Coturnix japonica: one gene and its partner. The protein of the gene in region 2 interacts with the protein of the main gene of each other region in a pairwise test. Links are inferred from orthologs where the notes say so. Each region holds a gene or a part of one and is shown on either strand. Other genes may lie near its edges.

Region 1 (4,381 bases), on a different chromosome or scaffold from region 2:
CACTGACAGGATTCTCATAGTGTAGTCACGTACTGAAATACTTTCTGCATTCATTTGCCTCTTTCTCATGTAACTGTGCTGGGTAGATGGGCACATCATTCAGTTCACTTTGCTTTTATTCTGACAGTAGTGAAAGGAAGTGGCTGCAATGTCCAAATGTGATCTTCCAGGAAAAAAAAACAACCCACACAGGCCCTAAGGTTCCAGGATGTGCCACAGTTTGTCAGCAACCCACTGTGATCCAAACTGAAAGCCTGCATCCAGAAAAGCACTTGCATATCATTATTTTTTCCTTTCATGTTCACTGGATACTTCACAGTGCAAACTGCAGCTTCTCCATCATTTACAAAAGAGTTGCTAAATATACTCATTGCAACTTGATGTCAGCAACATGCTGATAAACTTTCTATACAGATCCCCAACTCCTGGAGCAAAGAGATTAGAACGGAGGGGAGTGGGGGAGGGTACTGAGGATTTTCAGTCCTGATGTTTTAAAGGAAAAATTCAAATAGACCTTTAAAGATATAAAAACAAGAAATAAAGATTCCAGATCTTGAAAGCTGATGGCAGAGTCACATTGATGCCCTGCACAGATGTAAATGATGACTAAAAAGAAGGCAGCAGAGAATCAGTCTCTGAAGATGGGAAATAATCCAGTCAAGAGCAGATCTTGAAATGTGATACAGACTTATATAGGAACTTTGAAAAGGTTCCAGCCTGGGAATTAGAGCAGGCTGTTGTTTTAGAAACATGCACTGCAAACATACCATCGTAAAATCAATTAAAGTAATTATTTTATTCTAATCATTTACTTTGCAGTGACCCAAATATTGAACTGCCACAATGCATAGGGGTTGTAGAGGAATTTGGCTGAATGAAAAAGATACAGAGCATGACAGAGTGATCCAAATTTCAGGTAGGTGATAATCCTTATTTTGCTGTCTCACAACTTCACACAGAAAATAGAAAGCATAAATACTGACCACAGTGCAAAACAGCAGCGGTCAGTAGTGAAAGATGAGTTCACAGCATGGTCAGTCCCAAAGTTCATTTAGAAAGAAAGTAAAAAAGAAAAAGAAGAAAGTTGTGATTTACAAACTACTTGGCGTTCAACAACGCCTGACCTACACCATTATTATGACAGCAGAATCCATGACCATACCTTCCTTTACAAGTTGGAGGGCTATTATTTTACAATATTTAAACCACAGTATCAGTAGTGTCAACTGGATGAATAGAAAACAAAACTGAGAATTATTCTGGGCACTGTCCTGACAGTTGTGTTTCACAGTATTTTCCTGACTTGAACACCCTGAGCTCACTTTTCCTTCATAATAACAGAGAAATTTTGCAGCACCGTTCCAGCAACTTACACACCTTGACAATAAAAAGTCTCACAGACTCCACCATACTTTTACAAAGGGCAACAGCCAGCTTTCTCCTTAACAGACCACCACGTTTCAGCTGTACTTTGTGCTCATTTCCCAGTAAGCAGGAACACAGAGGCTCTCATTCATAAGGCAAACTTGGAAATGGCTAGCAGGAGAATTTGTCAAAACCTGCCAAAATATTACAAGGACAAGGTTATCAAACACTCTGCTGAGGAGACTGGGCACAGAAAGCCCAAATTACTAAGCAGGGCATGGTATATGCACACATGCAGAATTTGACCCAACAGATGGAAGATGCTGAGAATAAGATCCCAACATGTCACCTTACTGTAATGCACAGAGCAGGCGCAGAATGCAAAGGTCTTAACAATACATGTCATTACTTTTTTCCTTACAAGAGTTCAAATTACATTTTTTAAATACACACATCTCAATGTTCCCAACCTACCTGGCATGCTCAGCATCTTTTTTATACGTACATTCAGAAAAGAAAACAGACAGTCTACAAATGACTGTTCAGTGCCCCAATGCATGATGCAGACCTGTCCTAAGCAGCCATCATGAAGCTGACGGGCAGCAATTCCAAGATCTAAGAATAAACTGCATGTTTCATCAGCTAATGGCTGTCAAATAATAAAAAAATCATAATAAAAGTGTTGCCTGTACAAAGGGGTGAAGCTCGTGGGGTCTCTAAGCAAGGCAGTGTGCATTCACACACACACACAAATCCACCAACTCTGAGACATTTACAAATGAATTTCCAAAAGAAGACGCACAGAAATAAACCTTGTGCAATGCTGAACAGGCAAAGATGCTCCACAAGTAAAAATAAACCCTTCACAGCTGCTCCTGCTCAGCTGCGCCAGCGCCCAGCTCCGAGTGCCATCTCACCGCGGCCCATCCCAGGCTCTGCCGGCTGCGCCTCTGCACGCATCAGATTCAGTCGTGTAAAAATTCCATCGGCGGCGGGCAGCAATTCACAGCCCGCACGCTGCGTTCCGTAGCGAGGAAGTCGAGACAATGACAAAACTGGAGCACAATGGTGCAGGAGGGAGGCTAAGGCGGGTTCCGGCTGCAGGCTGCATCCTTGCCACACCTCTCCCTCCACCGCCATCATCACCTGCATCCCTGACTCCTCGTTCCCATCAGCTTTCTCTGCATCTCCTCGGCCTCCATCTCAGTACCACCGCTCGCTCTCCTCGCCGCCGCCGCCCCGGCCCTGATCCCCGATGATCCCCGCAACCGTCACCGTCATTGTTCCGGCAGCCCCCGCCTCTTACCGTGCCGCGGACAGGGGAGGATGCTGAGCGGCGAAGGACGGCTGCGGCGCATCCATCTTTCTGCTGCCGCGGCGGCTCCAGCGCCCAGCCCCGGCCGCTGCCGGCCCCCTGCGCGCCGACGCTGAGGGCGGGCGTCCGCCCCGCCGCCTCCCCGCGGCGGAGGCCTGCGCTGCCGGGCCGGGGTCTGCGGCAGGCGCCGCCCCGCCACCGCCGATGCTACCGCCACCGCAGCGCCGCGCGGCCGCAGCCATAGCAACGCCACGGCGGATAGGGCGCGGGGCCGCCGGCCGGTAGCGGAGCTGCGGGGGAACTGCCGCAGAGCCCGTCGTACCCGAGCGGCCCCGCACCAGCGGTGGGGCGCGGAAACGGGGACCCCAGAGGGCGAGGGCCGCCCCAGCGGAGCCCCTCAGCAGGGCGGAGCCGCGACGCGCCGGTCGCAGCTGGTGAGAGGAACGCTTCTGCAGCAGGACGCAGTGAGCCTTCACGTGGAACGGCTGCCCGCGGCTGGAAGCCCGTCCGAAAGGAACGAGCAGCCGGCCCGGAGGGCGCGGACCTTTTATGGTCAGGCATCCTTAAACAGGCATCCTTAAAATCCTTCAATCCCAGACAGACGCAGAAGGAACCACCATCCCTAGATCCGAATAACCTGCAGTACGCTACGGCTTCTTAGGTGTAAACCAACCCCCAGTAAGAGCTATGAAAGCAATGGCCACAGTAAACCACGCTCAGATGCTTCAAAAGCATCCTCATCTCTGTTCTTCCTGACACCAGAGGTGGTGCTGCAGCCCATAAACACACAAACCACTCCATTTACCTCTTTACAAAGGAGATAAACACAACTGCTAAACCTCTTCAGGTAAGGAGTTTGTCTTGCAAAAGCAAACTCTTCTGTTCATGAACCAAAGACCAAAAATTTTGTTTTTTTGTTGTTACCAGGTGTTGGTTTTTGCTAAGCATGGCAACACAGCGGGAAACAAACCTTTTCAAGAAACAGAGATCGGTGATTTCTGGATTTGTACTCTTCTGTGCTACTGTACTGTGTACTGACACCTTAACAGCAGCAGTACTTACTATTCCAGGTCACTCTTTTGACAAACAGAACTGACACTAGCATAGAATATCGTTACCTACTCACTGACTCCCCAAATGTTAAGAGCTGTTTGTAATTAGGATTCACAAGCTAGCAAAGGACAGCTGAATCTTCTGAGACATTGTCCACTAAGAGAAATAGAGACAACATGAAAGTGTCATAATTCACACATTACCACGGCACAGAATTTAAGATCTGTCTGAGACATGCAAGAAGGGCCTTCTCCTCCACTGGCTGGAGAGAGCAGCCCCTGGGCAGCACTACAGGCTGGCACCTTTTCCCAGAGCCTGAAACTGAGCCAGGCTGACCTGCAGGCACTGTGAGGCAGCCCCTATGCAGACCTCTACCTGCCAGCTCCCAGACAGGGTGAACACCATCCTGCACCAGCCCAGATGGACAGGTAGTGGCACCACAAACAAGCCTGGATGGGACAGGCTGCTGTAACTGCCACGTGGCTGCATATACCTCTACTGTCATCTGCTATAGTACCCATGAAGGCTAAGTTACAAAGACACCAGAGGACAGTAGCTTAATCATTTTATTTTTTTTTGAAATGGTGTTATCCCCCCACTGGCTGCCTCTCCACTCAGTCAGAATATCTGCTCTTTCACCTGTGGTTC
Region 2 (3,814 bases):
CTGTAAGTGCAGAACTGAGCAATGTGCAGAAATACAAAAGACAGCATTATTTGAACATTGATAACTTTCATTATTTAACACTTGTAACATTTTCTTATACTATTACTAATGATATATATGACACGTGCTGGAAAGTTAACCATTTTACTGAACAACAGGAAAACTACTGCATCTAAGAAGTTTCTCCTTCCTGTTACTTGGCTTCTCAATACTTCTTTCTCCCCTAGAAAACTTGTTATATTATGGTAGGAAGAATTTTTCCATGCCTTCCCACCTACCCACATTAAAGCCTATAATCCAGAAGAAAAATATGAATGTAGGATAGAATATAAACAGCAGGTCCTATGAAAGCAGCCTATTGCAAGTCTCAGAAATATTTTGGATTCTACCTCATTTTGGCCTCGGAAACATTGCCCTTAAGGTCAGGCTTCAGTGAAACTTCACGTATCAATTTTTTGATTACTCTTAAATAAGAAAAAGAAGCACCAAGGTTGAAGGCCTCTAAGTAATAACCATTTTGAGAAGAAACATTCATTTTCTACCATCTATCCAAACATGCTAAATTATCAACCAATCCTTTCCTTCTTTCCAACTGAAAACAGCCACACAATGCACTAGCCAGTAACTATGACAAGGCATTTAGGAACAGTCCTGCTTTTGAATGAGCTGTTATAAATGCATGTCACTAAAGTGTATGTTTAATGCTTGACTTTCATTTATACCTCACCTCGTTGCCAATAATATCAATGTTCTGCTGGACTTGTGGAACCCACTGCCTTAAGATAGCAAACAATTCAGAAACAGACGTTTTGGGGTTGAACAGTATCTCCTGGCACGCAGCATCATTGGGATCGAAGAAGGAAAACTCTGCTTTAAAAAAAAGCAAATATAAAAAAGGGTTTATGTACAAGTTCTAATATTCTCCAAGAATATGTATAGTTTTCAGTCTCAGAGGCAAAGAACACAAGAGATGTTACTTCAATAATAACCACTAGAAAATTAGAATGTCTGATTAATTCAGATAAGGTTCTTTAATGTCTGGTCTATTTATACTCAAGTCTTGCTTATCAGCCAAAAAAAGTTTTGAACTGGGACCAAGTACAATGGTACTACAAGGTTGATGATAAGTTTAGGCAAGGACCAGCAGAGATGGGCAGTGGTTATGCCAATAAAGGCTCAGCCTTGTTTCAAGCTAGGCAATGCTGCTGATATCAAGCTGCTCCTAAAGCACAGGCCAGGCTCTCAATGGTAAGTGATGAAATATACACACAATGTTTTACAGCATATGGAAGAATCTTTCCTTCTCCTTCCATCTCAATTCACATAAAACATAGCAAAACATACACACACAAATTAGGAAGGCATTAGTGGCCTCCATTTTTTTCCTGTCATGAACATATCCATCCCACCACATAGCAACTACAGGTTAACAAATAAAATAAGCTATCAAATCAAAGTGAGAGGAAAAACAAAAAAAGCCCTTTAAGATTTTAAGCCTCGCATTGCTTCAGGCAACCCAAAAATTCAGCTATGAGAAACACCTTATTATTCAAGTATGGTATTTTGCATTACTTACACGTGTATATCTATGCATATACACAAACTGTACTGTTTTAAACTGATGGAATTTCTTCCAACTCAGAAAGAATGTGGACAGCAGTAGCTACTGGGAGAAGGAAGGGAAGCAGAACCTACTATCATAGGCAAATGATAGAATAATGGAAAACACTGAACTTTCATCCCTGCTGCAGTTGTCATAGAGTTGCCTTCTAAAAAGGTTTCAAGTTAACATACATCAGCTTGCACCAACTACAGACAAAACACTCTCAGAATGGATAACTAACAAAGGGTAATTAACACACAGTATCACTGACCAGAAATAGGACTGGGTATACAACACATTGTAAGCTACCTTCTGGATGAACCATCCTAACCTTTCTTCAAAGAAAGCACACCACAGTTCTAGATTGGATTAACAAATAAGAGCACATATGTAGCTCGCTTCCTGAGTACTTAGTGCTCCCCTAACAGCACTTCCTTGATTCAGCAAGAATGAATAAGGAAGACACTGTCACCAATTTACCATGACTTTTTATGGCTTCTCATGAAATAAAATTCCCCACACTACAGAAAGCATGCTTCTTAATTAATGTCCTATGCATTGACACAGATCTGATTTCTTGTTTAATATTTAGCTCCTGTGTAGACCTGTTATCTCATGCTGAAAGCTATGAAGGAAACATGACCAGCCAACGAGATTAATCATCTTATGTGACATACAAAACGCTTATTCTGCCAAGTTTCCCAGCTACTAACCCAAACCAAACCATACCCGTAATCAAATCTAACAGCCTGCAATGCAAAAAAAGAGTAAGAATATATCAACAGCAACCATCATAAGTGCTTAACAGCCAATCAGCTGCAGTGCTTGCAAGAGGAAACCAACATCATGATCCAGAAAAATCTTTTAAAAGTTCTACAGTATGATGATAACAGCATCTAGATGCCTTAAAGCTTTACTTTTTAAGGTACACAAATGCCATTTTGAAAACATTACAATTGTAGCTACCTATGAAGATCCTTAGCCAAAAGGACGTTTCAATCTATTGTATTTCTTGTTCTAATTATTAAAAACACATGAAGACAATGACATTTTTTTCCAAAAGCCAGTCACCAGAAGGTGCTATGGTCTCCTGTAAACAGCCATTCCACAGCCCTCACCCCTACAAACATCCTACCCTTCCAACAGAAACATTCAGTTTAAGTACTGAAAGCCCAGTGAGGAAAGTGTGATGCACACACAACTAGGGCTGAATTTAATTAATGCAATTTTGCACCTCAATACAATATCCAATTCTACACCTAGACCTACAAACATCCAACCACACATAGAGAAGAAACAGTAAAAGTTAAAAGAATTAAAAGTATATGCAATAAGAAAAATAAGAGAAGCATGAGTTTTCATTTTTCATCTCCCTTTAAAATAACAGAATCCATTTACAGTATTTACTAAGCAGTATTTTCTTTTTCTGAAATGAGAGTGTAAGGAACCAGTAGTTTTTCTTAATATTTATCACTCAAATTTAATCCCTGCTCACCACAAACTCGTATCCTGTTAACATACGTACCGCAGTCTGAAGGCATTGGTGCTGCAGCAACAGAAAAAGTAACAGAGGTTTCAGAGCTTGGAAACAGAAATTGATCTCTTGCAGGGAAAGAATCTCCTTCAAAGGAAGGTTCTGGGATACCCTCTATGGTCATCTTCCAGAAAGTTCCTTTAGATGGAGGGAAAAAAGACCAGCACTGATAGAAGTTCTTTGGATTAGTTCTATTTGCACTAAAATGCAACATAAAAATATCACCTTCTAGCAAACTAATAAAATGCATTCATTCTTAGGAGTGGAGATGGTGTCAAGGATACCCAGCTACTAGATTTGATTTCACCACCAAACTCACACGTAATTAACGAAGAGCATAAAATTTCACCACTGTTTCCCACTCAGGCAGTGTGAAAATTACACTGTAATTAGGAACTACAAGAAATAACTAATTTACATGCTTTACAACTTCACAAAAAGGTGAAGCAGCAGATTCTTTACCTCACACTTGACATACATCTTTATCTCACACTATCAGCAAGAACATGCTCCCAGCCACTGCTTTCCCCCTTCTAATTCTCATGACTTGAACTGTATGCAGCTTTATGCAGCAAGATTAATCACTGAGTGATTCACTCCTGGATGCACGACTCTATCATCTCCTTTCTCAGCTTCTCCTCTCTGTGTATTAAAATAGCACACTTACCGCCGTGTTG

The links.
Region 1: the proteins of CLIP4 (region 2) and JAKMIP2 interact in binary tests that used the Homo sapiens proteins (3 or more experiments, as listed by UniProt). The two-hybrid records come from large-scale screens. The link is inferred for Coturnix japonica from reciprocal best matches to the Homo sapiens genes CLIP4 and JAKMIP2.

Annotation. Positions count from the first base shown.
Region 1 is NC_029528.1:182,743-187,123, reverse strand, and holds the start of JAKMIP2 (janus kinase and microtubule-interacting protein 2), read right to left. Parts: upstream 2,819-4,381; 5' UTR 2,672-2,818; intron 1-2,671.
Region 2 is NC_029518.1:10,058,601-10,062,414, forward strand, and holds part of CLIP4 (CAP-Gly domain-containing linker protein 4), read right to left. Parts: 5' UTR 3,805-3,814; intron 3,276-3,804; 5' UTR 3,262-3,275; coding exon 3,129-3,261; intron 871-3,128; coding exon 728-870; intron 1-727.